Rattus norvegicus: one gene and its partners. Each later gene encodes a partner of the first gene's protein in a complex. Links are inferred from orthologs where the notes say so. Each region holds a gene or a part of one and is shown in the gene's direction. Other genes may lie near its edges.

Region 1 (8,233 bases):
AGGGGAAAGGTGCCTGTGGATATCATGCAGCAGCAGGCCACTGTTTCCGGGAGTCTCTGGCCCTCATCAGGTCAGAACTCCTCCAAGAACTTTAATCCTGCCATCTCCATTCCCCTCTTCCCAGTCACAGATCCAACTCTGCCCTCCTCAGGGAGGGCAGGCACTGCACACCCCCTCCTCTTCCCAAATGGCCCATTAGCAAACAGACTCAAATAGAGCTTACACCGTTTTTCTTCATTGTAGGAAGGCACAACAACGGACAGCTGTTTTGTGGGCGAGTCCCAGATGCTGGGTAGAGCTTCCTTCTGGCCTCTGGCATTGAGGAAGAATTTCTCTTCCTCATGTCGGTGACATGGCGGCATTTTTGTAGCAGTTATGAATGCCACAATGGAAACCTAAAGGCAGAGTGAGAAACAGCTGACAGTGTTCTAATGTTTGTTGTTCTAAAACACTACTGTTTGCAGAATTTGGGGCAGGGGAATATATAGTCTCAGGTCTGGTTCTTTTACAGCTCTGGAGGTGATTCTGCTGCTACCTGGCAGACAGCCCCTCATAGACTGACTGATGACTGTCCTTGTCCCCGCTGGTGACTCCCTAAATGTTTCAGGAGGCCTTGCTTCCACTTTCCACTCCTTGGGTCTCTGCTATGCCAGATCTAAGAGTCAGCCGACCCTTACAAATGAACAAGGTACCACTACCTGCCTGGGGCATGTATGTGAGAGGACAAATCTATATGGCAGCTGTACCATGGAAGGACTCAACCCACAGCAGCAACCATAATGCTTAAGAAATGTATTCCGATTCTTTTCCTTAATTTGAATTGAGAACACAGCATCTTCTGAGTAACATATAAGACTTGTAGGCTCCTGGGGCTGGAGAGACAGGTCAGCTGTTAACAGCACTGGCTGTTCTTACAGCAGACTCAGGTTTGGTTCCCAGCACCACATGGCTGCTCACAACCATCCATAACCCGGGTGGCAAGGAATCTGGCACCCTTTTCTGGCCTCTGGGCACTCGAGACATGCACACATTGCATATACATACATACATCACTCATGCCCAGAAAAATAAAAATAAATACTAAGAAACAAATTCATGGGTGCCTTTTCCATGCACTTGGGAAGCTGGCTTTGGAAATAAGCCATAATTTATGTCACCATTTTCATTGGTCAACTTTGTTTCAAAATGAGCTATACAGGTGTGTAATTCTACTCGTAGTGCTTTGATGACTCTCTTTATGTGTGTACGGGGGAGCACGACAGCAGCCACACCGGAAATGAAAGACTATGAAGGCTCAGTGGTTGAGAGCAATAGCTGCTCTAGCAGAGGACCCGCTTCAGCTCTCTGTACCCAAACTATCAGCTCACAACTCTGTTTGAAAGTGCAGCTCCAGGAAACCCAATGTCTCCAGATTCTGAGCACATTGTGACTGTCTCACACCAGGAGAGGGCATCAGGTCCCATTACAGATGGTTGTGAGCCACCATGTGATTGCTGGGATTTGAACTCAGAACCTTTGGAAGAGCAGTCAGGGCTCTTAACCACTGAGCCATCTCTCCGGCCATGTCTCCAGATTCTGATCTCATGTGCGTACACACACACACACACTTAAAAAAATAATAAAAATAAAAAGGTGGTCTGGAGGTGTTCTCTACTGTCCAGATTGTGATTTCTGAATTCAGTTTTCCAGACAGCAATCAACACTTCTAAGAAAACAATTAATCGGGCTGCAGAGATGGCTCAGCGGTTAAGAGCACTGACTGTTCTTCCAGAGGTCCTGAGTTCAATTCCCAGCAACCACGTGGTGGCTCACAACCATCTGTAAAGAGATCCGATGCCCTCTTCTGGTGTGTCTGAAGACAGATGCAGTGTACTTATATATAATAAATGAATAAATCTTAAAAAAAAAAGAAAACAATTAATCCAGATCTGGGGTGGGAAGGCGTACGTCAACACAGCATATCATACAGAAAGCAAAGTCCATCTGTACCCACAAGGGCTGCATCAAAGGGGACAGGTGTGTGTGTGTGGGTCACCTGAAGGTGCTTTTCCACCTATGAGAAAGAAACTGCAGCATCAAAAAAGGAATCACTGTAATGAATGAAAACAGAAAAATGTAAGTCTGTAACATTGCAAAAAAAATGAAAGCTGGCCACCCTTTTACGATGTCAGGGAAACATCTCATCATCTTAAAAACCTGTACTTCTGCTGTTTCAGGTGACTGGGTACCTGAGGACTTTTCATTTAAAAAAACCAAAACACCCCAAAGTCCATCAAAAAGTCACACACGTGCACTTAAATCTCCAGATGCCACAAGAAATTTGGAGGACAAGTTAAAGAGGATGTGGAAGGTCGCTGTGAAATCCATTCCGGCAAACTCGAGAGTATTTAAACTGACAGGGTAATTGGAACCACAGAAATAACAGGTTTTAAAGGCAGTTGGAATCACCATATTGCAGTAGTTTAAAAAGGAGGTTCTGATAGAAATAAATGCAGATGATTTAGACACGAAATACTATTTGGAATTGTTTTTAAATTATTTTAAAAAGTGGGACACGGTGGAAAGAATGCCAGCAGGTGGCTAGAAAGCAGGTTTCAAGGTGCAACGCACTGCACAGCAAGTAGTAAATTAAAGGATACCTCTCCAAGCTCAAGCCAGTGGGATCTAGTACAGTCCACACAACCTCAGGTGCATGTAGTCATCTAAATCTGATAAGGGATTCAACGTAAGGTTGCCATGACCTGGACGTTGCCAACAAAGTTCTGATTTGTTCCAAGCCTTTAAAGAAGGTATTTTAGTAAAGGAGGGCGTTTGACTCACCCAGACACACAGCAACAGTCATCTGGCTACACCATTCCAAGACTGTGCGTGTACATAATATGGCAAAGTGGCAGAGGCCTTCCTGACCACCTGTCTAGCCATCTAGTCCCAATACAAGAAAGTTTTTCAAAATCAGCTTTCTGAGTTACAGGCTCCTTTTCAAACTATGTGGCAGAGTTCAGTTGGCAAGTAAGTCCTCTTCTACAAATCAACGGGGTGGGATCTGCTACGTTTCTATAGGAATGGCAAAGAAAACGCTAAGGTGCCTGATTCTGGAGAAACAAACAAACAAACAAACAACAGAAACAAAAACCAACAACTGGCCAAAATTAATAGAAAGGGATCTGGGCCTGTCTTTTGTTCACCCATAGTCTCTGTCTCTAGCCTTATAGATCTACTGCTCTCTTTCCAGTTGCAGTACGTACGGGAGGCCCAAGAATAAGGCTGGGGAGTGTGGTGGGATGTGACAGGCGGGGGTTCGGTGGCAGGAGCCCCGAGAAGCTGGGCAGAGGCTCTGGGCACCCAGATAAGGTTCCAAAGGGGGAAATAAAGGTTCAAGGATTTCAGGGAATCTGAGGCCAAGGGGGCCAAGCACGAGAGGGAAGCGCGGAGGGGACACCCGGAGCACGGGACTCCACCACGGTCTCACCAGAATGAGCGCGGCAGCCGCCAGCGCCACGCCGAGCCCCACCAGCTGCAGTAGCAGCGAAGCCATCCCGCAGCTCCACACTTGCGGAAGCGGCGTGCGGCGCAGCGCCCCGCCCCATCCCGACCCGCAGGAGAGGCCGGACTGGCCCGCGCCCGCCGCCCGCAGCGCCCCCGCGCGGCTCCGCTGAGGATTGCAGACCGGTCCCCGAGTGTGGGGAGGAAAGCACTAGATCTGTGCGAACTGACGAAGCTACGGGCCTCACCCACACGCCGCGCAGTGCTGCCATCTAAGGATGCCCGGCGCCGTGGAGTGTTTTAGAGTCACCCCTTTCCATTTCGCGCGTCTGCGTGTGTGTAAGGATGTTTGTGCACGAGCGCGCACGCCCGTGGGGACCCGGGCGTGGGACCCCGGGGGTTGGCGTTGCAGGCGGTTGTGAACAGTATCGACCCCGGCTCTTCCCCACAGGCCTGATTCTAACTAGGTACGAGCGGGACGCTCCGGGTGGCAGGAGCTGGTGTTGATGCCCCGTGCGCCGGAGAACAGCAGCCTCCGGCAGCACTTGTTTAACCCAGGATTCCAAACAGTGCTCTGGGCTGGAGCCACGCCTACCAAGGGGAGGGCGCAGGCGCAGAGGGCTGCGCAGGCGCAGTGCGAGCAGGAAAAATGGCGGCCGGGTTCAAGTGAGTGGTAGCGCGCGCAAAAGAGGCCCTGGTGCGGGTGTTGCGCGTGTTGGCGGACTGGGAATCCTGAGGGCTGCGGGAGGGCTCTGCCCATTGAGGCGCTGAGGGACAGCACATCCAGGACGACCCTGACCTCTTAACCGAGCGCAACGCCGCTCTCAACGCAGTGCCGCCTTCGGAAGGGACTGAAACCTTTGGGGGCGCTCTGATTAGACCCAAAGCTGCCCGCCCACTCGTGCAAACCTTAAACTCGTGTCTGCGAGTGCGTGCACTTATACCTGCTGTAACTTTTGGCCGCGTGTAGTTGATGTGGACAAACGGAGCTCCAGTAATTGTAAAAATACACTCTTCCGTGGTAAATTTGTAGACACTGGCAAATGCGGCTTACGGAGTGAAGTCACGCTAAGTTCCCCGCTTCAGAGCAAACGTGATGTGACTGACACCCAGGATAACCCTCTTCTAAGTGTGCCAAGGGCCTCCATTCCTTTTGGCACAGTTAAGGTCGCCGCTGAAAACTGGTTGCTACTATATGGCTTTTGTAAATATGGTTAACACAGTTTCAAAAGCCCGAACTTGTCGGGATTGGTGTCTCAACCACCACACTCTTAAATTCTGGGTTTACGCTTTAGGATGCACTGACTCAGACACATTTTAAACATGTTTCAGAACTGTGGAACCGCTGGAGTATTACAGGAGATTTCTGGTGAGTAGAGGTGATTTCGTACTTTAGAGCATGTGTTTTCTGCAGCCTAAGAAATATATTTATGTATTATATAATACATAAATAATCTGCTTCCTTATAAACATTTAGAAAGAAAACTGCCGTCCAGATGGAAGAGAACTTGGTGAATTCAGAACCACAACTGTCAACATAGGTGAGGATAAGCTTCATTTCAGTTGGGTGGGACAGCCCCCACCTTTATTTATCCTTGGTGCCAAATAGTTTCCCGCCAGCTCTGCTATGTCTAAGACATTTGGTGTTAAGAGATTTTTATCATCACACCAACCTTGTAGTTGATCCAAACGTTAGTTCAGATTTGGAGACAGAAGGGAAAAATTAAGAACGTTAAGTAGTAATACGGCCTGAACTTGTCGAGACAACTGAAAGATTTAAACTACTTTGTAGGAGGCTTTGTGCTTATTTTCTTCTTTTTTTTCTTTAATTCTTTTTTTTTTTCTTAAATAAATATGGTGTTTACCTTTCCAGGTTCGATCAGTACAGCGGATGGCTCTGCTCTAGTGAAGCTGGGGAACACCACAGTCATTTGTGGAGTTAAAGCAGTAGGTTTCCTGTATGGCTGTAAGCGTCGGAATTCCAAATTAGCCTCATGCTTAGGAGTGGCTCTTAATCGGGCTGATATTTAGAATGATATTCCATCAAGTTTGTTTTTTTAAACATGTGCGCATCATTAATTCTTTATAAGGCAAATAATCAAACCTGAATCCTCACTACTGCATACTGAAGATTTTGGCAATGTTGTTTTTGAAATTGAGATTGTTTTGTGATCCCATTTAGCCACTGATAGATTTTAATCGTCAGTCACACAGGAGTAGTGAGTGTCTGCTGACCTTTTTAGGTGTTCTACAGATTTACCAATCTCTGCCCCTACGTAGAAGGTAGGCAGAGTCTAATGACAAAAGCTGCGCTTTCTCATGTTACCCTGAGCAACTCTCCTCGTTTAGGTTTGTGGTTAAGCTGAAGTGATAAGGATCAGAGCTCATACTCTTTGCCAGGTTTCTATCTGAGACTTACTGGCACTGTCTCACTTGGGCGCCCCTGGGAGTAGGCAGGTACTGCTTATCTGTCCGTGTGTCAGCAGAGAAATATGAAAGATAAGTAACTCGCCCAGTCTCTCAGTCTGTTGTGTGGATCTGCAGGCACTGGGCTAGTTATTGCTATATTCCTCACTTCTGGCCACTACTAACTCCCTGGCCTGGTTGTGTATCACTTGGGGATTAAATTCAGATTTCAGCTGCTGAACAAGTCACAAAGAGTGGGCATAATCCCACCGATCCTGGTTGATGAGCAGCAGAGTTTGATTATACTGTCCTTTAACCCCCCTGGGAGCCATTGGGAAGGCAGTGCCAGCATCCTTAGGGCCCCTGCCAGATGCTCAACGTAATCTAACTGGCTGAAGTGGTCTTTGGTACAGCCTCTGTGAATGGCCAGAATATCATCGTGTTGAGTGGCTTCTCTCACTGGAATATATTATTTGCTTTTGTAGGAATTTGCAGCACCACCAGTAGATGCCCCTGATAGAGGATATGTCGGTGAGTTAAATAGTCTTAAAATTTTAACAAATAATCGAGTAAGTTGAAAGCTAACTTGTGATGAAATAGATAGCAGTTCCCAGTGCTCAGAAATAGAACGCCCCCACCCCTCACCCACAAAGCTTTGTGCTTATGAGAAGATAGCAGAGGGGACATCACATGAACTTCACTTCCAACCCTGTGTGGACAGTTTTTATTTACATACTCGGTTGCCCTAATTCAAGGAAGCATCATTGCAGATTAAAATCCTGCCTGCACTCTATTTAAAGTACTGGACAATATTTTTGGTCTTGGATTATCTTTTCCATAAAGTGGGAAGCAACATTTAAATCTTTAATAGTTGGATGTGAGCAGAGGACTTTCCTACTACAGACTGAGGTATCTGAGGGAAGAAACTCAAGAAACTATGAAGCCTGTGGTTGTTTTTAAGCACTGTGCAAAACATTAAGTGTAATATTTTCCTCTGAGCTTGGCAATCTGAGAAGACTAATTCTAACACTGCCATGTTTAACACCTGAAGAGTCTACCCGTGGCTAATCCCCTGTACTGTGAAGCAGTTCCTTTACCAGTTGCCCCAGCTGTGGGTAAAGTTGAGTTCACAGCTGCAGTGTCTCTTTCAGTCCCTAATGTGGACCTACCACCGCTGTGTTCATCGAGGTTTCGGACTGGACCTCCTGGAGAAGAGGCTCAAGTAACCAGCCAGTTCATTGCAGATGTCATTGAGAAGTAAGACTGTTAGGATAAAAGTTTAACCACCGTTCGTTATCATGTGTGTTTTGCCTTCACATTTATTGTGTTCTTTATCATTAAATCAAGCTCACAGATAATTAAGAAAGAGGACTTATGCATTTCTCCAGGGAAGGTAAGAACAGATTCTCAAGTGGCTGTGTGGTCTAATGTGGTTGTGGGAATTAATCAACCTTAAACCCTGAGATTTTAGAGTTTAGAAGGAATTCTGTAGAAGTTCATTTTACTCTGTATTGGTCTAAATTAACAATTGTGTCATAAATCTTTTCCAGCTGGGTTTTATTTAGTTTAATGAGATAGTCACACTGTGTACCCAGCTGGTCTTTTACCTCCTCCTTCCCAGCCTCCCAAATGCTGGGATTACAGGTGTGTGCCATCCTGTCCAGTTATCAGATAGCATGTCTGGGGAGCTAAGTTTTCTTTCTCTCCCTCTCCCGCCCCCACCCCTCTGTTGCTAGTTAAAAAAAAAAAAAAATGCTTTTATCCTTTACAGCAGATCAGGTTTTGCTTACGCTGATATTTATGGATAGCACATAGTATGTTCCTACATTGGTTTCCCTTGCAGATTTATAGGGCTATTACTATAAAATCTTTGTTACACAGTAGGGAGCAGATATTATAGTTAACATAGCAGCAAGAATAAAACTTCCTCTTTGCACCTCTGGCTCTATTCAGGGGTGTAGTCAGGTCTGTCTCTTGTAGATTTGCTAGTCACAGCCCAGCTTTCCTAACCTGACCTGACCACTTTGACTTCCTACTTAAAGGTTTAAGGAAAAAAAGAGATCTTAGACTTTCAAGACTAGTTTTCTCTAACCAATGGTTCTGTAATTCTTCAATTAATTGAGGAAAAAGCACTATGGTGTTATCAGGTCTAATTTCTTCTGTGTCAATTATTTTAGCTTGCTTGGGTTCTATACTGTGACCTTATTTGCCTAGACTACGATGGGAACATTTTGGATGCCTGCACATTTGCTTTGTTAGCAGCTTTAAAGAATGGTAAGCAACCTTAATAAAGACTATTTTCCTACAAATAGAGTCCAGCTGGTCCTTACCTACTCTTCCCCTC
Region 2 (8,079 bases), on another chromosome or scaffold:
GAAGAGCAGGGGTTCAAGGTCATCCTCAGCTTTACGGTGAGGTGGGAGGCCAGCCTGAGCTACAGAAGACACTGCCAAAAAGTGGGGGGAAATGGAAAAAGTTAAATATACAATGAAATATATAATGAAAGATACAGACTGCTCCCTCCTGCTGTTCCTCCAAATGTCCTCTCAAATAAGTAAAGAAATCCGGGGACAATAAACAATAACAGAAGACTGCGCCAGCAGGAAAACAGATTTAATCAGCCACAATGACCTTTCCCTGGGGTACCTCACTTCTGCTGGAAGCTCAGCCTACCTGCTCAGCCAATGAGTCCAGGGACTGAAGTCAGCTGTGAAGGATTTGATTGCCAAAAAAAAAAAAAAAAAAAAAAAGCCAAGGAGAACAGCACGCAGGCAGGAGCCTGCCCCTCCCCCACCAGCTCCAGCAACCTTTCTGTATTTGCTGGCTTCAACTGACAACCTTCCTCATCCAGCTCACCTGTTTGTCCCCTTCTCTTCACCCCAGAGCTTCTATCTATCTTCTCTGTCCTATGAAATACACAGAGGAGCAAACACAGCCTCATAAAAGATGGAGATGCTTCGCCCAGGTCACCCTTTTTCTCTCCCAATCTCTGTGGTCTCGGCCCTCACCCCTAACATAAGGCAGGCATTCCCACTGCCCTTCTGTGCTGGGCCCAATTTGCACTGCCCTCAAGCTGGCATCTCCACAGCAGCCCTATGACATGCCCACCACTGGCAGTGTATGGAGAGCCTTGAGCTGTAGGTGGTTGCTTGCCCAAGGCTACACAACTGGCAAGTGGCAGAGCAGAGAGGCCAAATCACGTGGTACAGCTCTAGACTCCAGCCACTTAACCAGACCTGATTCCACTGGGAATTTATGTCAAAACCCTCTAACCAGGCATTGCCGACAAAATTTTTCTTTTGTAAGGGACGATCTTGCTATATAGCTCTGGCTATCCTGAAACTCTACAGACAAGGCTGGCCTGTAATTCACAGAGGGGAACAAGTACAGAGGGGGGTGTGGGGGGTTGAGTTGTCTCTCGATGTGCCAGAGTCCTGGGAGGGATGGGGAGGCCCCAAGGAGCTGATAGGGACGACTCTAGCTGAGACTCCCAGCGGTGGGGAATATGGCACCTGAAATGGACACTGCCTGTAGCCAGGCAAGACTCCAAGTGGAGGGACCCACCCACAGAACCTTTGACCCAGAATATGTCCTGCCTACAAGATGTGCAGGGACATGGATGGAGCACAGACAGAGGGAGTGACTGACCAATGACTGGCCCAGGTCGGGACCCATCCCATGGAACCAATCCCTGATGCTGTTAATACTTGCAGACAGGAATGCAGCCTAACTGACCTCTGAGAAGCTCAACCCAGCAGCAGATAGAAACAGATTCAGAGACACACCCCCTCCCCCGAGCCAAACATTAACCTGAACCTGGGTAGTCTTGTGGAGGAGTTGGGGGAAGGACTGGGGGCCCCGGAGGAGGATGGAGCCTCCACACGAAGACCACAGTCAATTAACCTGGACCCTTGGGGGCTCTCAGAGACTAAACCACCAACTAAAGAATGAGCATGGGCTGGACCTGGGCCCACACACACTTGTGTGGTGCTTGGTCTTCATGTGGGACCCCCAACAACTGCCTCTGAACCTGTTGCCTGACTGCGGATTCCTTACTCCTGGCTGGACCACCTTGTCTGGCCTTGGTGCATGGTACTGCAGTGACCTGATATGCTGGGGAGGTGAGAGGAGCTCCCCACTTTTCGAAGGAGAAGTGGTGGAAGGGAACGAGAGGAGCTGTGGGGGTAGCTGGGAGGAGAGGGGGTGCCGATATTCAGAGTGTGGAGTGAAAAAATAAATTAATGGAAAAAAAAAGACAGTCTCACGATGAAGCTCTGGCTGGCCTGGAGCTCAGAAATCTGCCTGCCTCTGCCTGGAATCAGAAGCACACATCACCACACCAGGCCTTAGACTTTTTTAAAAAATCTTTTTGAGGGGACTGGGGAGATGGCTCAGTGATGACTAAGAGCACTGGTTATTCTTCTAGAGGAACTGGGTTTAATTTCCAGCACCCATATGGCAGCCCAAAACTGTCTGTATTTAACTCAAGTTCTATGGGATCCAACACCTTCATTCAGACCAAACAACAATGCACATGAAATAAAAAATAAGGAAAGCATTTTTAAAAATCTTTTCGGGTTTTTTTTTTTTTTTGAGAGAGGGTCTCATGCAGCTCAAACTGGCCTCAAATTCCTTGCCTTCCACCTCCCAAGCGCTGAAATTACAGACACATGTCGCCATATCCAGATAAACAAAAAGCGCGGGGCTAGGAGCCAAATTCTGGACGTGGCAAGTGTGAGGCAAGCATTCTGCACTGTGGTACATCGCCAGATCGCAACAGCATTTGGAAGTGTTATCCTGCCCTTATCAACAATAGATCAAAAGAGATTCCGAGTTTTCTCGAGTGTTTTCAAGAAAAGTGGGCAGCCAAGCACCGTAGCGCACATCTGTAATATCAGGACTTGGGAGACTGGGACAGGACTATCTCCAGTTCGGATACCTATCTAAGCATCTGGGTGAGCTAAAGGCCATCCCAGATGAGTGGGTGAGATCCTGTCTCAAAAAAAAAAATAACGTGGGCAAAGGGTCCTGTTTGAACTTCTCGCTCTGTCTCCCTTCATGATCATCTTCTGTAAATGACAGTCATGGAAAAGTCCCTCGCCTTGAATTTTGGTCAGGGGACATAGGAAACAAACGAGTTTCTTGCTCGACTCCCTTTACAATTGGAATTTAAGTAATGTAGAACCCTATGAAAACCTGATCTGTCCTTTCAACCCCCGTCTCATCCCTTACTCGTCTCCTTCCATCGAAGCCCGCAAGTAGCTGCCTTGCTTTTGCTCTAAAGGGAGCCTTCCCTTGAATTTCTCTTCAAAAAGTTTCCCGGTCCTTTTCTTTCTGAATCTGCTCTTCCTTCACAGCCCGCGGTGCCCCACGCACACTGTAACAATAACAGTTACGTCTCTATTTCTCCCCAAGAAAGACACTGTGGGGGCCAGGTACTCACGAATCTAGCCAAGCCCCGAGCCCCAGGTCGCCCCAACAGCAAGAGGGCAGCCTGGCGCAGGCCACGGCTCGGCCTCCAGATCTTGGCCGCGGACATCGCTACCGCCATCTTGGCTAGTAACCACTCCTCCTTTCTCAGGAGATAGACATGCGTCTGTCCCATCAGATGCCTTATTCAAATCTCAGCACCACTAGGCCAACGCACTATTTTCTTCCAACCGCCTAGCAACAAAGACGTAGAAATAAGTAAGTTGACCATTTTTATTCTTTAAAATTGCTCCAGTCGTCTGCTTGGAGTTGTTCCAATATCAGGCAATAAAAAGGACAACCTCACTTGAACCTCCAGGGTTCAGGGCCCGGGGCCTTGGGCAAAATGGGCCTAGTCCAAGTCCTGCCCCTTATTCCCTATTCTCCAATGGCTTTGCCAGAATTGGGAGGTGGAGGTGGGCAGGACCAGATTGTTAGTAAACGCCGAGCCACGTGCTAGGGCCACTTCGGGAGTGCCCTAGATTGGCGCTTGCGCGGTAGGTACACGGCCGGTAGAACTGCGCGTGCGGCTGAGCGGAAGCTACGGTAGGAGCCCCAGCGCGCGTGGTCAGCGGCTATGGAGGGAGCAAAGCGTGCAGACGCCAAGGTACTCACTGACACCGGAACAGAGTCCAGCCCTCGAAGTCCAGTCTGCAGCCTCCGGCACTTTGCTTGTGAGCAAAACCTGCTGTCCCGGCCGGATGGATCTGCTTCTTTTCTGCAAGGTACGACTTTAACAAGGTTTAACTCAGCGCGCGCCATCCTCACCGAAGAAGGGTTTTTGAAGAGCGGTTACTGTGTAGTGTGCAACCAAGTACGCCCACCTCCTTGGAGAATTTATTTCTAGATATTGCGTATACCCACCTCCCGACTCGAGAAGAAATGATTTGGCCAGGCTGGTCAATACCTCTTGGAAGAAATCCAGGGCAAGACCCCTCTCCTAAGAGTGAATATTCCAGAATAGGTGTTTCACCAAGGCAAATATTATCCTTGACTAGATTTCTTAAAAAACACTTCTGGATCCATACATCATCGGTTGAGGCTAAGGTGTTTATTTGCATAAATACCCTTTGAGACAGACACATCACCACTACTGGTTTAAATATAATTACTGTGGCAGGTGATATACCTAAGTAAATGCTCTGAAAATTGAACGTGATCCTCCCATCCTGGGCTAACAAGTAGCTCCCCTTCTCTGGTCCCATCATTTGAGAAAACATGCCTTTCCTTGGTATACACGTCTCATCAGGGTAAATGAATAGAAAGAAAAGAGAGATCTCGAGGCTGAGGCCCACATAACCCTGTATCCCAGTCCAGCCAACCAACTTTGAGAGGTCATGGGAGGGTAAAAAACTACCAGAGTAGACAAATGAAGAGGACAAAGATGGAGTTGACAATGGGGAGTTGTGTTTGAGATATTAAGAGCTGATCACTTTATGGCTAGTAAGTTAGTGTGGGGTAGTGGTGGGTCAGAGAGAGCAAGAAAGGACAGTTAAGACAACTGTTCAGGCATTTTCCTGGGAAGGGATCTGGTAGATGGGACAAGAGTTGAAGACTGACAGGAGCTTAAGAAAAGAAATAACACCTTTAGTCACAACACTTGGGAAACAGAGGCAGGGTCTCTATGAGTTCGAGGCCAGCCTGGTTTGTGGAGAGGAGTTCCAGGAAACCCTGTCTTGGGGAGAAAAAAAAAGGGAGACAACCGGGAACTGGAGAGATGGTTTGGTGGTTAAGAACACTTGTGGCTCTTGAAGAGGACAAAGTTCAGTTCCCAACATCTATTCAGGAGGCTGTCAAGCACTTGTAACTCAGGAGCTAGGGGATTAGAAGCCTCTGCATGCAGGGACACACACACACACACACACACACACACACACACACACACACACACAGAGAAAGAGAGGGGGGGCTTGCACAAGCATGCATGCACATAATTAAAAATAAAATAAATCCTAGGGACTGAAAAGGGGAGAATTTCTGTAGCCCCGTTGTAGAGATGGTGGGAAAGAAGAGACTATTTTGCTTGCCGAGAGCACAGTTTATACAGCAGAACAGGAACAGCTACTGTGTAGCTCTAGTAAGCACCTGAGTCTAGTTGGGTCACTTCTGGTTTCAGGGCAGATGTTGGCGCTAAGACCCTGTCCCATTGGGTTTCCTTGGAAAAGCACCCGCAGATGTAATAGTGTTCTCATCCCAGGCTGGCTCCTGGTTTTGCTCACTTGCTAAACTCAGCGTCTCCTGTCTCTCGAGATATAAGAAATAGAATGGGAACCCTTCCATGTTCTAAAACTCTAAACCACGGGGCCCTGGTGCAAATTGGAGACCTTGCAGACTTTCAAAAAGAATGTTGCAGATGGGGCTGGAGAGATGGCTCAGTGGTTAAGAGCACTGACTGCTCTTCCAGAGGTCCTGAGTTCAATTCCCAGCAACCACATGGTGGCTCACAACCATCTGTAATGGGATTTGATGTCCTCTTCTGGTGTGTCTGAAGACAGCGACAGTGTACTTATATATAATAAATAAATAAATCTTTTTAAAAAAATGTTGCAGACACATCTGACCTCAAAGGCTCCTGCAAGAACACCCTATGGGAGGGGGCGTGGCATCAGTGAGCAGTGCAAATGATGGGTATATGTGATAAATGACACACTAACCCTATTACTTCATAGCTGACCTCATTAGGCTCCTCTTGCTCTAATAAGGACCATGACCAGAAGCAACCTGTGGAGGAAAAGGTTTGTTTGGCCTACATACCCCAAGTCCATTGAAGCAGGAACTGAACCATGGAGGAGCCCTTGCCTTTCATGGCTTGCTCAGCCTGTTTTCATTTATAACCCAGGACCACCTGCCCAACAGCAGCGCCGCCCACAGCGAGTGGGACCCTTCCATATCAGTTGTTAATCAGTGAAATGCCTTGGGTCCGGGAGTGTGTGAATTCCCCTGCAGACTTGCCTACAGACCCTTCTGATGGAGGCAGTCCCTCAGTTGCCTCAGTTGAGTTTCCTCTTTCCAGGTATGGCTAACTCGTGCTGAGTTTACCAAATGCAAAGCAAAGGAAGTAACTAGCCAGCACAGTGTCTTACCTTACAAGCAAAATTGATAAAAAGAAAAAAACCCAACAAAAACAAAACCGATGGTACTGAACCCCTAATCCTAGCAGCAGGGAGATAAATAAAGGCAGGAGGAGCAGCTCGTGCCAGGGTCACTCAGCTGCACAGCATGGGCGAGGCCAGCCTTGACCACACAGAACCTGACTGCAGAAAGTCCAATGGAGGGCTGGAGAGATGGCCCAGTGGTTAAGAGCACTGACTGCTCCTCCAGAGGTCCTCAGTTCAAATCCCAGCAACCAACCACCTGTAATGGGATCCGATGCCCTCTTCTGGTGTGTCTGGAGACAGCCACAGTGTACTCATATAAATAAAATAAATAAATCTTTTAAGGGGCGGGGGAAGGAAGGAAGAAAAAAAAGTCCAGTGGAAACCTACAGAGCCCCGGAAGCTGCCCGTGTAGGTTTGTCATCCTATTTTCTGCTTTGGATTTAGCATGAATGCCCCACCACAGAGTGACATCCCTGAGCCCTCAACTTTTAAATGATTGATTTCCTATGGATGTCCCCAGTGCCCGAGCAGGACAGAAGAGTGTGAACTTCCCAAAAATGTAGTTACAAATGGTTGCGAGCCATCTCTCCAGCCCCAACCTGTGATCCACTGTACACATACATTTTATCAGTGTGCAGCTGTGCTGTAAAGCGGGAGTTATGTCAGAAACGTGGAGACTGCTGTGCAGTGCAATGCCTTCCTGTCGTAGGGAGCCTCTCTGAAGCCTGCAGACATTAACAAACTCCTCACACAAGGGCCAGTAAGACCCGGACGGGACCAGAAGCCAGACTTTTTACTCTCCAGACCCATTTGTAACCACTCTGGGAAAATATGCAGAAATTAAGACCCCCCCCTACACATCACAATCTTTTTTTGTTCATTTGTCCTTTTAAAATGCTTTTACTAATATATTTTAATTATATCTAATAAGGGATTTGTTTGGTTGGCTTATGAGATGGTCTCATGTAGCTCAGGGTGGCCTCAAACTTAGCTCGGAACCAAGGATGATCTTGATTTCCTGATCCTCCTGTCTGTCTCCCAAACACTGGGATGTGTATGTACTTCGGGGGTGAGAGCCATGTGTGTGCCAGTGCCCATGAAGGGCAGAAGAGGGTGTCGATCTCTCGGAGCTGGGTGATGTGGTGGTTGTAAGCTGCCTGATGGGGGTGCTGGGAACTCATTTCTAGTCCTCTGGGAGAGCGGCGTGCATGTTGACACACCACCACCACCCAGCCATCCCTGCGGCCCCAACTGTCTCTAACAATTCACCATGGCTGAGGTCCGCAGTAAGCTCTGCCCCTGCTGACCAGTGTCCTGCATGTTTGAAGGGAACTGCTTCTCTTTAAAGTCCGTGTTTATTTCATCTTCTTGTGCGATGCTGAGACACATGGCCTCCTGCTGCTGTGAGACCCAGTCACCTGATCGGCACAGAAATGCCCTGAGGGGGGGTTGGGGATTTAGCTCAGTGGTAGAACGCTTGCCTAGCAAGCTCAAGGCCCTGGGTTCGGTCCCCAGCTCCTTAAAAAAAAAAAAAGAAATGCCCCGAGGAAGACAGTGCCCCTGCTCAAGTGGTGGGTGATCCCCGCCTAAAAATGAGAGAGCAGAGGAAAGAAGTGCTCAGGGTGGCACAGAGTAACCAAGGCCTCCCTCGTGTTCCCCCAGGTGATACCTCTGTCCTGGCTGGAGTCTACGGGCCGGCCGAGGTGAAGGTCAGCAAAGAAATCTTCAACAAAGCCACCCTTGAAGTGATCCTGAGGCCGAAGATCGGCCTGCCCGGTAACTGGACTCCACTGACCCCCACCCCACCCCGTAAAAAAAGGAACCCGGCTCGTCAGGACCTCCTGAGTCCTCGATGCTCGAATGTCCAGTCTCTCTGCACTGCTCTCC
Region 3 (7,181 bases), on another chromosome or scaffold:
AGAGCCGTTCAGCTTTGTGGTAGATTCTGAGGAAAGGTCATTTCCCCAGGTGGAAGGGCTTCCGGGTCATGAGCATGAACTAGCTTTGAACAGGAATTAGGTGCAGCCTTTGCTGCCCACGTGTGTGTGCCCAGAGCCCTTGCTTCCTGAAGGAAAGGAATCCTCATGTTTATAGCTCTGATCTTTCTCTTCCTAGGCCCTCAGGAAGTCAGAAACCTTGAAGAAATCTCTCTCGGCCATGGAGGTCAAAGTGAAGGCCCAGTCTGCACCCAACAAGGATGTGCAGAAGGAAATTGCTGACCTTGGTGAGGTAGGGATGGCCTCCCTCTGTTTGTTCCTTATATCCAACCAAGGAGTAAGACCCTCCCTGTGCTTAAACTTTTTGTTCCTTTATTTGTTGTGCTTTTTAAAGACGGGGTCCTATTCTGTAGCCAGGACTAGCCTGAAAGGCACTCTACAGCTCAGGCTGCCCTCAGATTTACAGCTGACCTCTGGCCTCAGCATGTCCCTGCAAACCTGAGCCACATGCTGGGGGCTGGGGAAGGATATCATGTATCCATACTAACCTGGAACCCCTGGAATTTCTTGGTATGCTGGGCTCCCTGCAAGTCTTTGCAGGCTCTATTCACAGCTGGTTAGGACCAGGTCTCAATGGAAGCCCCCTTTATCACGCTACTTTCTGTCCAGTGATGGCTGCTGCGTTAATATAGTGACTAGTCTTAAAGCCAGCAGATATCTTGGTGGTTTCCTGTTTTCTCAAGCTCTGGCCATGGAAGACTTTGGTTCAGAGACAGAGGGTGTGGCAGAGTGGGCTTGAGTTTCACTCTACCTCCTATTGGCCCAGACCCCAGATGGTCTTCTGCTTTGGTTCCAGGTCCTGGCCACTGCAGTCATTCCCCAGTGGCAGAAAGATGAACAACGGGAGACTTTGAAATCCCTGAAGAAAGTCATGGATGACCTAGACCGGGCCAGCAAAGCCGATGTCCAGAAGCGAGTGAGTCTTGGTAGTGCTGGCAGCTGTAAGAGAGCCCACAGGTTTTCTAGAGAGAGGCTGACAGGGTTGAGAGTCTGGGCCCTTGGCCTAAGCCTTTCTCCTGGGCTTCTTGTAGGTGTTAGAGAAGACTAAGCAGCTGATTGACAGCAACCCCAACCAGCCTCTGGTCATCCTGGAGATGGAGAGCGGTGCATCGGCCAAGGCAAGCAGGGAGAGGGCCAGGGCCCTACGTCAGCTGGGGGGTGTTTGTCCTTCCAGCCTTGCCAGCCCTTTAATTTTGAGTTTGTGGTCACCTGAGGCCCACGGCTGAGCCATGGAGAGGTCTGGTGGCCTGAGAGGGAGGAGCTTCCTATGCTTAGGAGCCAGGGTCTTTGCACGGGCTCCTGGGAACAGGGTCTGCTCTTAGGAAATGGGATGGTGCTCTGAGGGCTGAGTTCCACAGACTCCCTTTAGAAGGCAGGGCTCCCTGCCCCAGTGCTGTGACCTAACACAAGATTCTCCCCTCAGGCCCTGAATGAAGCTTTGAAGCTTTTCAAGACACATTCTCCTCAGACATCTGCAATGCTCTTCACAGTAGACAATGAGGCTGGCAAGATCACATGCTTGTGTCAGGTTCCTCAGGTCAGAACTTCCTACAGCCTCAGTCCAAATCAGTCTGCAAACCCGTAGGCCGTGGGAAACACTATGTTTAGCTTCTCAAGGAGAAGACTGTGTTTGTGTGCATGCAGTCCTGATTAGAAACAGTTGATCTGTCGTTTGTCACACACACACACCCCCTTGGTGCCTTTTACCTCTTAGGCTTTCTTTTGGGTGACAGTATTCACTACTGGCTTAGCTTTTTGTCCTCACCTTGGCACTGGCCATAGCTGCTCTCCTGTAACCGCTATAGAGTTAGTCTTGGCCTGTGGTAGCTTCACCCATGACACAAATGGGTGTTGGGGGCTCCTGCCATTCCCCACCTCAGTCCCATCTTCTATGCTGACTACCATTTTCCCTTTCTGTCTTCTAGAATGCAGCCAACCGGGGGCTAAAAGCCAGCGAGTGGGTCCAGCAGGTTTCAGGCCTGATGGATGGTAAAGGTGGTGGGAAGGACATGTCTGCCCAGGCCACAGGCAAGAACGTGGGCTGCCTTCAGGAAGCACTGCAGCTGGCTACTTCCTTTGCCCAGCTCCGTCTCGGAGATGTAAAGAACTGATGGGAGGGAAGCCCTCTCAGGAAAGCATCTCCCCGACAACCAGTCATGTTCAGGTGCAGGAGTCTAGCCAGGAGCTCTCCTCCTGCCACGAAGACATTTGAGTCTTGGGACCTTTCAGCAGCCCTCCGTCCTGATCCAGCAGTAACTGGAACGCGCCTGGAGCTGTCCTGTGATTCATTGCCCCTTTCCATTCTGCTCTGAGCCATAATGTCAGCGCCATCTGTCTAAAGTCACTACCCAGGAATGCTACCTAACATCCTGATCACGTCTAGATGAGGTCACTCTGCCAACCTGAGGCTTCTAGGTCTGCAAGTGGGAAGGAAGCCTTCCACTGCAGAAAATAAAGGACCATGTGCAATACTAGATGATACCACGCTCTCCTTTCTCCTGAGGTTGACCTCAGCTCCCTATACATGCAGAATACAGGCTGTGTGTGGTTCTGGCTGGTTTCTGATTGATGTTATCACAGAGTACAGCCTCAGACTCCTGAACTTGAGGAACGGCCCCTGGGAGAGCAGAGCTAGAGGCAGAATGGGTGGGCTGAAATTGAGGCATTCAGTAAAAGGGGTGGAGGAAAATTCTTCTGAATTGCTTCACATGAAGAAGCACCATTCTTAGTCTCTTGGGACAACCTCATAATGGCTTTCATCATGTGTGTTCAACGTGCCTCCCCTTGAAGCTGCTGATATGAGGTCAGACAACTAATGTAGGAGGTATGAATGTAGAGATGTCTTCTAGTAACTGCCCCATCCCTGCTTCTTTAACCTGAAATAGGTTCAAGACCCTGGCTCGGCCCTAAAATGCAATTTATATGAATCTACAAACAGCAGGGTCTGGAAGCTGAGATACTGCTTGCTTATGACAGATCTCAGAGTGTTAGAATTATTATTCAGTTGTAGGAAGAGAGATAACGTCCATTTATTAAACAAGTGTTGAAGCAAGCCAGGGGACTAACTACAGGAATGAACAAAAAGTTCTTTTTTTTTTTTAATTAATTTATTTATTTCATGTACATGAGTATCCTGTACTCAGACACACAGAAGAGGGCATCAGATCTCATTACAGATGGTTGTGAGCCACCATGTGGTTGCTGAATTGAACTCAGGACCTCTGGAAGAGCAGTCAGTGCTCTTAACCGCTGAGCCATCTCTTCAGCCCGAACAAAAAGTTCTTACCTAGGGCAAGCTTATATAAAACAATCTGAATGCAAAATTCAAGGAATGACAGTAGATCAGGTCCTATGGAACCACAGGTCCAGCCAATACCTCGCCGTTCTTCCTCCATTCCGCTAGGTGGCAATGCGGAAACCTACCGCTCTCCCGATAGGCTCCGCGCGGGCGCGTATCTTTAAGCGAGCGGAAGAGCCGGTGCGCAAGGCATCCTGGCAGGCGGAAGTAGCTCGTACGCCGGTAGCCGCCATGCCGGGAGACCACCGCCGCATCCGAGGGCCAGAGGAGTCCCAGCCGCCGCAGCTGTACGCGGCCGAAGAAGACGAGACGCCCGCTGCTCGCGACCCGACGCGCCTACGACCGGTGTACGCCCGCGCAGGGCTGCTGAGCCAGGCTAAGGGCTCAGCCTACCTGGAAGCGGGAGGTACCAAGGTGCTGTGCGCCGTGTCCGGTCCGCGGCAGGCCGAGGGCGGTGAGCGCGGCGGCGGTCCCGCCGGAGCGGGCGGTGAAGCTCCGGCTGCTCTCCGGGGTCGCTTGCTCTGCGATTTCCGTCGCGCGCCCTTCTCCGGTCGCCGGCGTCGCGCGCCCCAGGGCAGCAGCGAGGATCGTGAGCTGGGTCTGGCTCTGCAGGAGGCTCTGGAGCCCGCTGTGCGCTTAGGACGCTACCCTCGTGCTCAACTCGAGGTGTCCGCGCTGCTGCTGGAGGACGGCGGCTCTGCGCTGGCCGCGGCCCTCACCGCTGCTGCGCTCGCCCTGGCCGACGCGGGAGTGGAGATGTACGATCTGGTAGTGGGCTGCGGCTTGAGCCTCACACCGGGGCCCTCCCCGACTTGGCTGCTGGACCCCACGCGACTGGAGGAGGAGCATTCTGAGGCCGGCCTCACGGTGGCGCTCATGCCCGTGCTCAATCAGGTGGCCGGGTTATTGGGCAGTGGGGAAGGCGGCCAGACTGAGAGTTGGACCGATGCGGTGCGCCTGGGCCTGGAAGGCTGCCAGCGCCTCTACCCGGTGTTGCAGCAGTGCTTGGTGAGGGCTGCCCGCCGGAGGGGTGCCGCCGCCCCGCCCTGATTGGAAAACTTGAGCGACGAGGATGCGGAGGACTGCTATCGCCCTTTTCTCCCAAAAGGACCAGCGCTGATGGTTGCCCGATTTCGCTGAGCTGAGACAGGAGAGTGGGGGAGTGGTGCGCACAGAACCAAAGCTCTGCACAGCTGCGTTGGAAAGAAGTTTAAAAGGCCGTTGGAAACACGATCCAGTTGGAGAAATTTGAAAGCAGCCATATTCCTAAGTTGGAAAGGACTTGGGCTGGATTTACTTAGTAAATGAGACCTGGGGCTATGGCCTTGTAAGGGATGGACCCTGTGCAGGCCAGCCGGCAGCTCCAATATAATTCTTTTTTTTTTTTTTTTTTTTTTTTCTGAGTTGGGGACCGAACCCAGGGCCTTGCGCTTGCTAGGCAAGCACTCTACCACTGAGCTAAATCCCCAACCCCAATTCTTTTCTTTTGAGAGGATGGACAAGGGGACTTTGCCTTCTCACTACTCGAAGTAAAACATAAAAACATTTTTATGCCTGGAAATAACATGTGTTGTGATTTTTCTTGAGTTAAAAACAATGCTGTTCAGAAATGGGTGTGTGTTGATTGTGTGTTGTCAAGGGTCCAAGTCATTACTGCCTTAAGTATTCCTGTTAGCCCGCTGTAAGAAAGAAAGGGTTATGTGCTTTGGAGGAGAAACCAGCTGCCCCGGGAGCATTGTCTAGGGCAGCTGCCGAGGGGATAAGACTGAGCAGATTTCAGGACAGCCAGAGCTACACAGAGAAACTCCCGTCTGGAAAAGTCTGGGGAGAGTTCAAAGGAGAAGCCTGGATGCACCCCTGTCCTTTCCTTTAGGACAAAACCATGTCTAGGAGTTAGGTAACTGAAAAGGATTATGCTCTGGAAAGAAGCCGGGTCCCATCCTGGTGCCTGTCCAGGCTTGGCTCCTGGGAACAAGGGTCTGGGCAGCAATGGTCTACTAAAATGCAGACCGCCTAATACTGTGGTATCATTTACAGCCTGGCTATTAAGGCAGAGCAGGCCTGACTGACCAGTATAGGGACTTATCCTGTTCTTCACAGGCTGAAGTGGAGGAAGCTGTGAGACTTATTAAGTATTCCAGGGGTCTGCTCAGTTTATGAGGACAAAGTAAGAACTCCTGACCAAGAAGAAGAAATACATATTTTATTTTTTCCCCCTTCTGACATGACTGTAGAACAAATCCAAAATTAGTGTTATACTTACTAGTGAGACTCAAGATAGAGACATAAATGCTCCTTTATTCTGAAGGATAGCTTATGGCTTCATAGAGCACATGGTGGGTTTAACCAAAAGAGGTTGCTTAGGTGGGCGCACACCATCAGGTTTAGTGTTGTGTGGGGAAGAGACAGTTTTCATTCCATGAGAGCTAATAGTGCCTTTTGGGCTCAGGGCCCTGTCGTGTGCCTCCTGCAAGACCACCACAGTTGAATGAAAATAGGCACTGCTGGTCTGTGTGGCTTCCCTACCCTGCCCACAGCAAGACTCATGGAAAAAGAGAGTTAAACCCACGACTACCGGGAGGGGGAGGTTTTCTGGGTGGGCTGGCTGTACCGTGCTTCAGACTTTCAATACCCAAGCTCCAGAAAGGTGACTTCAAGTCGCATGGGAGTGACTAGGGGGCCTTCCAAAAATACAAGGCAAGAAAACAAGCCACCCAAGAGTACCAGTGAAGAAAGTCTGGAAGGTTCCCCACCTCCTACTGGCTATTCTGGTCTGATGCGAGATTCTTCACCTGTGGAAAACAGAGAGGCTAGTTTAGAGGGTGAGAGGCACGGCCACGTGCTAAAATCTAGTTCCTCCAGCTCTCCTCCTTCCCGTTTTGGGAAGCCAGAAGCTATTCTAGATTCTCTGGGGGATGGGAGGGGTGCTGGAAAGTGTCCATTCTAAGCAAACCCTGAAGCCTGGAAACCCAGAACCCACCCGCAGGAGTAAACATTCTCCCTGTAGCACATTGGTTTTCAGGGCAGTTGTGACTGGGGCAGTAGGCGGGAACCCTCCTGAGCTCACCTAGCCTGGGGTAGGCAGGGCATCATGAGGGAATTCACTACCAACTCTGATCTTGCTAAGCAGACTTGGGAAGTGCTAAGCACTGATGATAGAGGAAGAGACAGGGCAGAGAAAACCTCAGGCCCTTTACTGCTACACAAAGGGCCATTGTCAGTCCACATTTGGATTGCCTCAGCCTAGGAACATGAGCATAGCATGCCACAGCCCTGGGGAGGCAACCAAAAGGATGAGGCCAGAAAGGGGGAAGAAATTCGTTTTTGTTGTTGTTGTTGATGATGATGATGTTGTTTTAGAGACAGGGTTTCTCTGTGTAGCCCTGACTGTCCTGGAACTCTGTAGACCAGGCTAGCCTCAAATTCACAGATTCACCTGCCTCTGCTCCTGAGCACCTCCTGGTTCAAGAAATCAAATTTTAATTAAACAAGCTTAAAAGGGAGCAGGGGGAAGTTTAGCATATGGAACATACCTATTCCAGAAGATGGTGTTTCAACCCAGAACTGACTTAACCCAAGTGTCCAAATACCTGACAGTAGCTGCTGGTATAGCTGAGCCAACCAAGCCCAGAGGCAAAGGGCTAAACAGCAGAGGAGAGGGGAGAAGTGGCTGTCCTAGGCACTGCTCTTGGGTATAGGTTGTAAGCCTATCTGTATCCTACTACTCTGTGTTCCTCCATAAACCAAGTCCCCTGTCTTTGCTCTCAGGCCACAAGGACCCAAGTAGGGTGAAGGAGACAGAACA
Region 4 (8,049 bases), on another chromosome or scaffold:
TCCTTCCTCAGGCTGAAGACCAGCTTTATTCTGGCTATCCTAAATGGCTGAGGCAATTTCGTAAAATAAGCAATACTCAAGATAAACAACCCCAACCTAACAAGGATGGCAGGGGCTCAGGCTACCCTGGTAGAAAGACCTGCTCCACATTGAAGCAGCTGCTGAGGGTCCAGCACGGAGGATGGCTCACCCAAGCTGCATCAGCAGGGCCTGGCTCTCTTACTAACTGGTGTCCAGCTGTCATGAAAATACCACCTCTGTGAGGGGGGATGTTGAGAGTGCTAGGATTGGGATCTTCGTGGTAGACCATTTGTCCAGCCCAACACAGTACGTCCAGCCTACCTGCTTCTTGAGGTTAAATGTTGACAGTCCTCTCATGGACTTGTGGGGGGATCTATGCACCCCCCGTACTGGGTGTGTGTGTGTGTGTGTGTGTGTGTGTGTGTGTGTGTGTGCGCGTGTGTGTGTTGAGATCCTTGGGACCCACCCATCCTCTCCTCTCGGTATTCTATACACTAAGCTCACTGCTTTAACTCTTATCGTTGGATAGACATACATTTTCTTATGCACTAAATGGGCTGGGTGGTGGGGGAGGGGTGGCAGGGGAAAAGGGTGAGCTCCTTGCTAAGAACAATGATCACTAAGAAACAAACACAGGGAGAGGTGCTGGGGCAGGGATGAGGGTATCCCTCTTTTCCTTTCTATTGTACTGGACTGAGGTGAGAGACTGGAATACACCGAGCTAGAAATGCAGGAGTAACATAACTGGTAGGTGACAGTCCCTCTACATGCTCCAGTTCCCTAGAGTCTTTAGGGACAGAGAGTTGATAAAAAGCTGCTATGTCCTTCCAAGACATAAGACAGCTTTGAGTTACTTCTAGACTTTTTTCTTTTTACATTTTATTTATCCGGGGAAATGGGGGTGTGCCTGCCACAGTGTAGGCATAGAGATCATTAGACCACAACTTCTGTGATGATGATGATGATGATGAAGAGGAAGAAGAGGAGAAGGAGGAGTTCTCTCCACATATGGGTCCTGGTGTTTTTATTTGTTTGTTTGTTTGTTTTGAGACAATGTTTCTCTGCATAGCCCTGGGTGTCCTGGAACTCTCTGTAGAGCAGGCTGGCCTTGAACTCAGAGATCAGCCTGCTCCCACTTTCCAAGTGCTAGGATTAAAGGCTTGAGCCACCTCAGTTGGCTGGTGTGATGTTCTAACTCTCCTAATCCTTCAGAACGGAATGTCCCTTCCCTTCAGGACACCTGTCATGTTCTATGTCACACTCATCTCTCCAGAGCCAACGCTTCTGAATAGTCTCCTCCATAGGGGCCTCCTCACTGCCGTCTGTGACAATGGTGCTGTAACTCTCCTCATGAAGCTCATTGGAGAGCAATTCCGTCTCAGTGTCCTCTCTGCGAATCTGTGTTATCTTTTATCAATGACAACAACAGAAGGTCAGCAAGATCATCAAGCTGGTAAAGGCACTAGCCGCCAAGCCTGGCAACCTAAGTTCCAGGACCCACATAAAGATGGTGTGAAAGGACTGACAAGGTGCCTTCAGACCTCCACCTGCAACCACTAGCACGAATAGCTAACTTTTTTTTTTAAACTGTCAGTGGAATACTAAGCACCCAGACGCAGGAGAATCTCTGAGAGTTCTACGCCAGCTGGGGTGTAATGAGAATTCTGAAATGTTGGTTTAAAAACACAGAAATATAAGCGTTTGTTTTCTTTTTAACCCCAGGTGTGGGATGTGGGGCTGCTTCAGACTGTCCACAGCAGCTGACTGTGATTTGCCTGGTGCTCTGCGGAGGCGTGGTTTTGCCAGCTGCAGATAGTTTCTGTGATTGTGTGACTTTGGAATTCTGGGAACTTTTCAGAGAGTATAAAAATGCGAAAGCTCCAATCGACGGGGGTGGCTGCTGCTTGTTGGTAGTTGTACTCAAAGAAGAAACTGAAAGGAAGAAACTAGATTCAAAGATCTCCCACACCCTCCTCCTTCCTGTCCCTTCCTCTCCTATCTAGTGACAGGAGGTAAAACCGGGAGGGATAAACGACTGGGAAAAGAACCCACAAAGTAGCTAAGACCCGCTACACTGAGGCTGCATAGTAAGATCTTATTTTAAAACACACCACAAGGGTTGGGGATTTAGCTCAGTGGTAGAGCGCTTGCCTAGGAAGCGCAAGGCCCTGGGTTCAGTCCCCAGCTCCGAAAAAAAGAACAAAAAAAACAAAAAAACAAAAAAAAAAAAACACCACAAACAAACCACCACAAAATTATTTATTCTGGGTGAGAAAATAAGACAACATACTCAGAATCAAGACTCACAAGCCCTCCACAATGAATAGCATTCCTTAATTATCTGCTCCTACAATACACAGGGTTGTTAAAGAGGACTCAGTGGGACTATAATCTGCTCTATCTACCCCACAGGTATGAAGCAAACAATAAAAATATACCTCCAAGCTAGGTGTCACGGTCCCACCTATAATCATTATAAGAGCACTAGGGAGGCTCTGGTAGGAAGATTGCTAGTTTGAGGCCAACCTGAAATACATATCAAGATTTTCAAAAAGCAACAGCAACCAGGTGATATCGCACATGCCTCAGATCCCAGCACTCTGGGCAGAGATAGGCAGATCTGTGATCTCAAGGCCAGCATGGTTTACAGAAGGAGTTCCAGGACAACAAAGGCTACAAAAAGAAACCCTGTCTCCAAAAACAAGCAAACCAAACAACAGCAAAAAAGGGCCCATCACCAACAAACACAACAAAATCTCAGGACTATGTATTTCATATTCTGAGTGAAAACACTCCCAAATGTATACTAAGTGACCGAATCTTTAAAAATAATCAGAACTCCAAAACCTACTATACAGGTGCATATAGACAACCGCAGGCGCTTTGTGCTTGCATCCAGGCTATAGAGAAAACTTACTGGCCAAGGTAAGGGAGGGAAACTTATGGATTTAACCAAGCAAATGAAAAAGAAAAAAGAAAAACTAAACTAATACTGAGCCACAAAGATAATAATCACGTGTATGTGGAACAAAAAATTGTGCTTGGCTAAACTGACCACTGTAAAAACCACACGGACGAAAGACGAAAAAAAGAGAAGGACCAGATTCCAGCACTCACAGTGGCTGCCCCCTTCTAACCTCCGCAGCACTGAGCACACACGTGACGAAAAGACATACAAGCAGGTATGCTTGTTCAATACATTCGTACAATAAAAATAGATATACAGTTTTTTAAAGGGCCAAAAAAAAATAGTCTCCGCTGGGACCAGCGCCTCCGACAAACCGAGGACGTCCGGAAAGAGAAGTTTGTCTTCAAGGCGTACCTACTTCAACAACCGAGGAGAAGCTGCAAAAACCAGCTCGGCTCGGGCCTTTGATTTCCCGGAACCGAACGACGTGACTCGTACATTCAGCAGGCCGGGGAAGCTACGAGCCTTGCACCGGAAAGGGACTAGTTTACCGGAAGTTATAGCTCTCCGAGACTGAAAAGGAAACGGACCGGCGGAAGTCGTAGTCGCGGAAGCCCAGGTCATCTAAGGGGTCGTGCTCTCGGAGGCGGAGCGAGGACTGCGCAACATGGCCGGGCTGGAGCTCCTGTCCGATCAGGGTTACCGGATAGACGGTCGCCGCGCGGGGGAGCTGCGCAAGATTCAGGCGCGGATGGGCGTGTTTGCGCAGGCCGATGGCTCGGCTTATATCGAGCAGGGCAACACCAAGGCACTGGCGGTGGTCTACGGGCCTCACGAGGCGAGTAAGCGGCAGGGATTGGGGGCTCGTGGCCGCACGACGAGGAAGTAGACCTTACAGCTTAACTCCTCTACCTATGCAGCAGTATACTAAAATCCCATCTTTGAATTTCTGGGGTCCTCCCTGGCAGAAAGCATCTCAACACACGTTGTCCCACCGTGTTGTAGGGGAAATGATGTGCGTGCATCTGCGAGGACCTGGCTTCTTCTGATTTCACCTCACGAGCTCTTTCCCTTGGTTAACTTCCATTTCAATCCTTCCTTTGTGTTACATCCACTAAGCCATGAATATAATTATACCCCGAGTTCTGAGTCCTCTCGGGGAATTGCATCCCTAACATGGCCCTCAAATTTGTATAAGTATTAGGTCCCATGATGAACTGAGAATATTGGTTTCTTTAAGAACCCAGTTATGTTATGTGATTATGTTTTTGTTTTAATCCCACGGGTGGGATATGGGGCTGCTTCAGATTGTCCACAACTACTATGATTGTCTCATGCAGGGACTGGGGGCTCATGGCTGCACATCGTGGGAGTGGACATGAGTCTTACTGCTTAACTCCTCCGTCTCAGTGGGCCTCTTTTCTCCTGGGCTGCCCTCTTCATCTCTGAGGTGCCTCATACATCCTGGCAAAGCTACACTCAGTCCCTGTTCTTTCAGTCCAGTGTTTTGACATCTTGTCCGGAAAAGGCCTCCCAGGCTATTTCTGCCCCTGCTACATCGATTTTCCTCAGTCTTCCATGTCTCTTGTCTCTCTACTGGAATGTAAACTCCCAAGACAGAGACATTATAAATTGCCTGCCTTTGCTGCTTTGTCTCAGTGGTGTAGCAAGGCCGGCAAACATGCACATTTTAAGGGTTTTTTTGTTTGTTTGTTATTTGTTTATTATATATAAGTACACTGTCACTGTCTTTTAGACACACCAGAATGGCATCAGATCCCATTACAGATGGTTGTGAGCCACCATGTGGTCGCTGGGATTTGAACTCAGGACCTCTGGAAGAGCAGTCAGTGCTCTTAACCAATGAGCCCACATTTTAAGGTTTGCTAGCAATTTGCTCAGCTTTCTAGGTGGAAGCCAGGTCAGGTCTAGAACACATTAGGCCAGACTACTGGTAGACCGAGGGACAGTAGATCAAATAAAGTTGAGTGGTTAACCAAGGAGATGAGGACCCAGGGCTTTGAAGGTCGGGGAAATTGAGATTTTCTTTTACATGTAATGAGAAGCTTCTGGAAGGTAAGTAAAATATTAGTGTGTGGGTGACACAGTCAAATCACATGTTTGTAAACATGGTGACCACGATGGGAATGATTTAGGAAGAAATGGAGCAACTAAAGAACAAAGGGGTTTTTTTTGCGGAAGGTGACAGTGGTGCGGCTTAGACCGAAGTGTAGCCCTAAACCGCCTGCCATGGTTTGGAACCAAAGTAGCTGCTGCTTTCTGAAGCACTTTAGAAAGAAGAGGAGGAAGGCTGAGCCATCGAGTGTGACCCAGGAGGTAGGCGGCCCTGGCTCATTCCTTCTTTTTTCCTCCAGATCCGGGGCTCCCGGTCACGGGCTCTGCCTGACCGGGCTCTAGTGAACTGTCAGTACAGTTCAGCAACCTTCAGCACAGGTGAGCGCAAGCGAAGGCCTCATGGAGACCGGAAGTCTTGTGAGATGGGGCTGCAGCTACGCCAGACCTTCGAGGCAGCTATCCTCACACAGCTGCACCCACGTTCTCAGATAGACATTTATGTGCAGGTGAGCCTCAAACCACTCCCCCGGGGGCGGGGCTTAAGGGGATGAGGTCTGCCTGAGATGCTGGAGGATGAGATGTCTGATGTCCTGATGCCCCCTGCAGGTGCTACAAGCAGACGGTGGGACCTATGCAGCATGTGTGAATGCAGCCACGCTAGCAGTGATGGATGCTGGGATACCCATGCGGGACTTTGTGTGTGCATGTTCGGCTGGTTTTGTGGATGGCACAGCACTAGCGGACCTCAGTCACGTGGAGGAAGCAGCTGGCGGGCCCCAGCTAGCCCTGGCCCTGCTGCCAGCCTCTGGCCAGATTGCACTGCTTGAGATGGATTCGAGGTTGCATGAAGACCACTTGGAGCAGGTGCTCGAGGCTGCTGCCCAGGCAGCCCGGGATGTGCACACTCTGCTGGATCGTGTTGTCCGGCAGCATGTGCAGGAGGCCTCTATCTTACTGGGGGACTGAGGCCAACCCCCCATATCCAGAATAAAGGCCTGTTCCTCTCCTGAACACACTGTAATGTACAGCACTTCAAAGCAGCTCAGGGCCCTACATAGCAGTTTGTACTGCAGTCCCTAAGTGGAGAGAACACTTGTGCTAGGAAGAGCAAGAGTGCTCATGCTGTGCCTGCCCAGATATCAGGGTCCACAAAGACCACCAGGGGTCTGGATTTGTATGCAAAAGCAAAGCCTTTATTCACACTTAAGCTTGGACCCTCAGAATCCTCCAAGCATCAGATTTGTGCTGAGACCTTGAACCTCATTTAGGCAAGGTTTTTATACTAGTTTGAGCAGGGAACGGGGGTCTCCAGCATAGCGATTGCCTTACTTAGCAAGGGTTGAGCAGGGAGGGGGTCTCCAGCCTGTCAGTTGCCTTATTTGGCAAGGGGTATCTTGGTGCACAAGGATTGGTCAATGATGAGCAATTTATCTGTAACCTTTGGAATTTTAGACACTTTCCCTCTATTTCTCTGATTGGCTCTAGCCCAGGGCAGTTTCTTCCTGGATTGTTTATGATATTTCTATTAATCGCAGTTCAAACAAGGGACAAGCAGGCTCAAAATGGAGTCCGCTTTCTCCCATCACTTGTGTTCCTCACTCATGCCCTCAGACTAAGGAATGTGCCTTGCTTACACAACTCTTCAGAGACATGAGTGCAAGGCTGAGGTGGCTATGTGTGCTCATCAAGAGATGTAAGGTTAGACTAATGCAATGGTTCTCAACTTGTGGGTCACAACCCCTTTGAGGTCTCCTATCCGATATCCTGCAAATCCGATATTTACACTATGACATAACAGCAAAATTAGTTATGGAGTATCAGCAAAATAATTTTATGGTTGGGGTTCACCACAACATGAGAAACTCTATTAAAAGTAGAATGTTAAGAACCACTGGATTAATGTTTTTCCTTGGGCCTTTCTTGCCTCTTTGGGCTCTAGAAGGATATCAAACCTTTGTTGCCTCTTGGCCATTTATTCTTTTTTTTTTTTTTTTTTTTTTTTTGGTTCTTTTTTTCGGAGCTGGGGACCGAACCCAGGGCCTTGCGCTTCCTAGGTAAGCGCTCTACCACTGAGCTAAATCACCCAGCCCCTTGGCCATTTATTCTTAGACCCTTACCTCTGGACCCTCTTAGAAAAACTCCTCTGACCCACCACTACCCCTCTCCTCTGGCCACCAACTCGCCCACTGTGCTAGTCAGCCCACTGACTTAAGGTTCATGACATCCATAGAAATGATTCAACAACGGATCCTCAGTTCACATGGGGGCCCTTAAGTCATAGCTATAACAGTCATTCAATATCTCACTTCAGCAGGCAACAGTCTTTTCGCTGTTCCAGCTCCGTACCCACCTGTGTCACACACTCCCGAGAAGAACCTTTAGGCAGGCACGCTATTGCTGTTCTGTCTTGAGTTCGGCCAGTGTCTTGCCCTTCCAGCTGTTTGCCCGCAGCTTCACAACCTCAGGTTCCAGTTCCGCCCACTGGCCGTGACAGCATCCTGTATTTCTCCAGCCTACTGCAATACTGAGCATGCGCAGAATGTGGTTTCCAACGACATCTGCCCCTACGCTACCAAGCGTAGTGGCGCGACGGATCCTGGGACCGGAAATAAAGGCAGCACGGGGCGCCGGGTCTGACAGGAACCCTGCGCTTGGAGGTGTCAAGCTGCGGCGAGAGCTGAGCCCCGCGCCCCGCCATGGGTCTCCTGTCGGACCCGGTGCGCCGGCGCGCGCTCGCCCGCATCGTCTTGCGCCTCAACACTCCTCTATGGTGAGGGCGGGTATAGGGGGCGGGACTCGCGGGAACATGAACTGCTGTAGTTCCACTCGCGCCTACTGCTCCAGGATCTGCGCCCTCCTTGCAAATGTCACTCAGGCACTGAGCTTGGAGCTCTGATCCCTATCCATTCCTAATATAACGTCTCGGGTTTTTGGGTTTTTTTTCTTCCGGAGGCAGGATTTCTCAGTGTAGCCTTGGTTATTCTGGAATTCCCTCTGTAGACCAGACTGGCCTCGAACTCAGAGATCTGCCTGCGCCCGCCTCT

What was found. Proteins that work in one complex are often made in the same cells at the same time.
Region 2: Exosc8 (region 1) and Exosc5 share a complex: the UniProt entries of both Homo sapiens proteins name them as parts of the RNA exosome core complex. The link is inferred for Rattus norvegicus from reciprocal best matches to the Homo sapiens genes EXOSC8 and EXOSC5.
Region 3: Exosc8 (region 1) and Exosc6 share a complex: the UniProt entries of both Homo sapiens proteins name them as parts of the RNA exosome core complex. The link is inferred for Rattus norvegicus from reciprocal best matches to the Homo sapiens genes EXOSC8 and EXOSC6.
Region 4: Exosc8 (region 1) and Exosc4 share a complex: the UniProt entries of both Homo sapiens proteins name them as parts of the RNA exosome core complex. The link is inferred for Rattus norvegicus from reciprocal best matches to the Homo sapiens genes EXOSC8 and EXOSC4.

Annotation. Positions count from the first base shown.
Region 1 is NC_086020.1:141,082,973-141,091,205, reverse strand, and holds the start of Exosc8 (exosome complex component RRP43), read left to right. Parts: upstream 1-4,108; 5' UTR 4,109-4,132; coding exon 4,133-4,149; intron 4,150-4,815; coding exon 4,816-4,852; intron 4,853-4,960; coding exon 4,961-5,024; intron 5,025-5,356; coding exon 5,357-5,430; intron 5,431-6,374; coding exon 6,375-6,420; intron 6,421-7,040; coding exon 7,041-7,146; intron 7,147-7,236; coding exon 7,237-7,282; intron 7,283-8,066; coding exon 8,067-8,163; intron 8,164-8,233. Other genes in the region: Alg5 (dolichyl-phosphate beta-glucosyltransferase), read right to left, coding at 224-395, 3,470-3,535. UniProt on the Homo sapiens protein: Non-catalytic component of the RNA exosome complex which has 3'->5' exoribonuclease activity and participates in a multitude of cellular RNA processing and degradation events.
Region 2 is NC_086019.1:90,292,321-90,300,399, forward strand, and holds the start of Exosc5 (exosome complex component RRP46), read left to right. Parts: upstream 1-3,588; 5' UTR 3,589-3,671; coding exon 3,672-3,819; intron 3,820-7,854; coding exon 7,855-7,968; intron 7,969-8,079. Other genes in the region: Bckdha (2-oxoisovalerate dehydrogenase subunit alpha, mitochondrial), read right to left, coding at 3,069-3,176. UniProt on the Homo sapiens protein: Non-catalytic component of the RNA exosome complex which has 3'->5' exoribonuclease activity and participates in a multitude of cellular RNA processing and degradation events.
Region 3 is NC_086037.1:55,927,948-55,935,128, forward strand, and holds Exosc6 (exosome complex component MTR3), read left to right. Parts: upstream 1-3,575; 5' UTR 3,576-3,607; coding exon 3,608-4,426; 3' UTR 4,427-4,990; downstream 4,991-7,181. Other genes in the region: Aars1 (alanine--tRNA ligase, cytoplasmic), read left to right, coding at 197-310, 875-994, 1,110-1,196, 1,502-1,615, 2,004-2,189; Hnrnpcl1 (heterogeneous nuclear ribonucleoprotein C-like 1), read right to left, coding at 6,133-6,168. UniProt on the Homo sapiens protein: Non-catalytic component of the RNA exosome complex which has 3'->5' exoribonuclease activity and participates in a multitude of cellular RNA processing and degradation events.
Region 4 is NC_086025.1:109,924,933-109,932,981, forward strand, and holds Exosc4 (exosome complex component RRP41), read left to right. Parts: upstream 1-3,558; 5' UTR 3,559-3,596; coding exon 3,597-3,767; intron 3,768-5,304; coding exon 5,305-5,511; intron 5,512-5,611; coding exon 5,612-5,971; 3' UTR 5,972-6,301; downstream 6,302-8,049. Other genes in the region: Gpaa1 (glycosylphosphatidylinositol anchor attachment 1 protein), read left to right, coding at 7,702-7,775. UniProt on the Homo sapiens protein: Non-catalytic component of the RNA exosome complex which has 3'->5' exoribonuclease activity and participates in a multitude of cellular RNA processing and degradation events.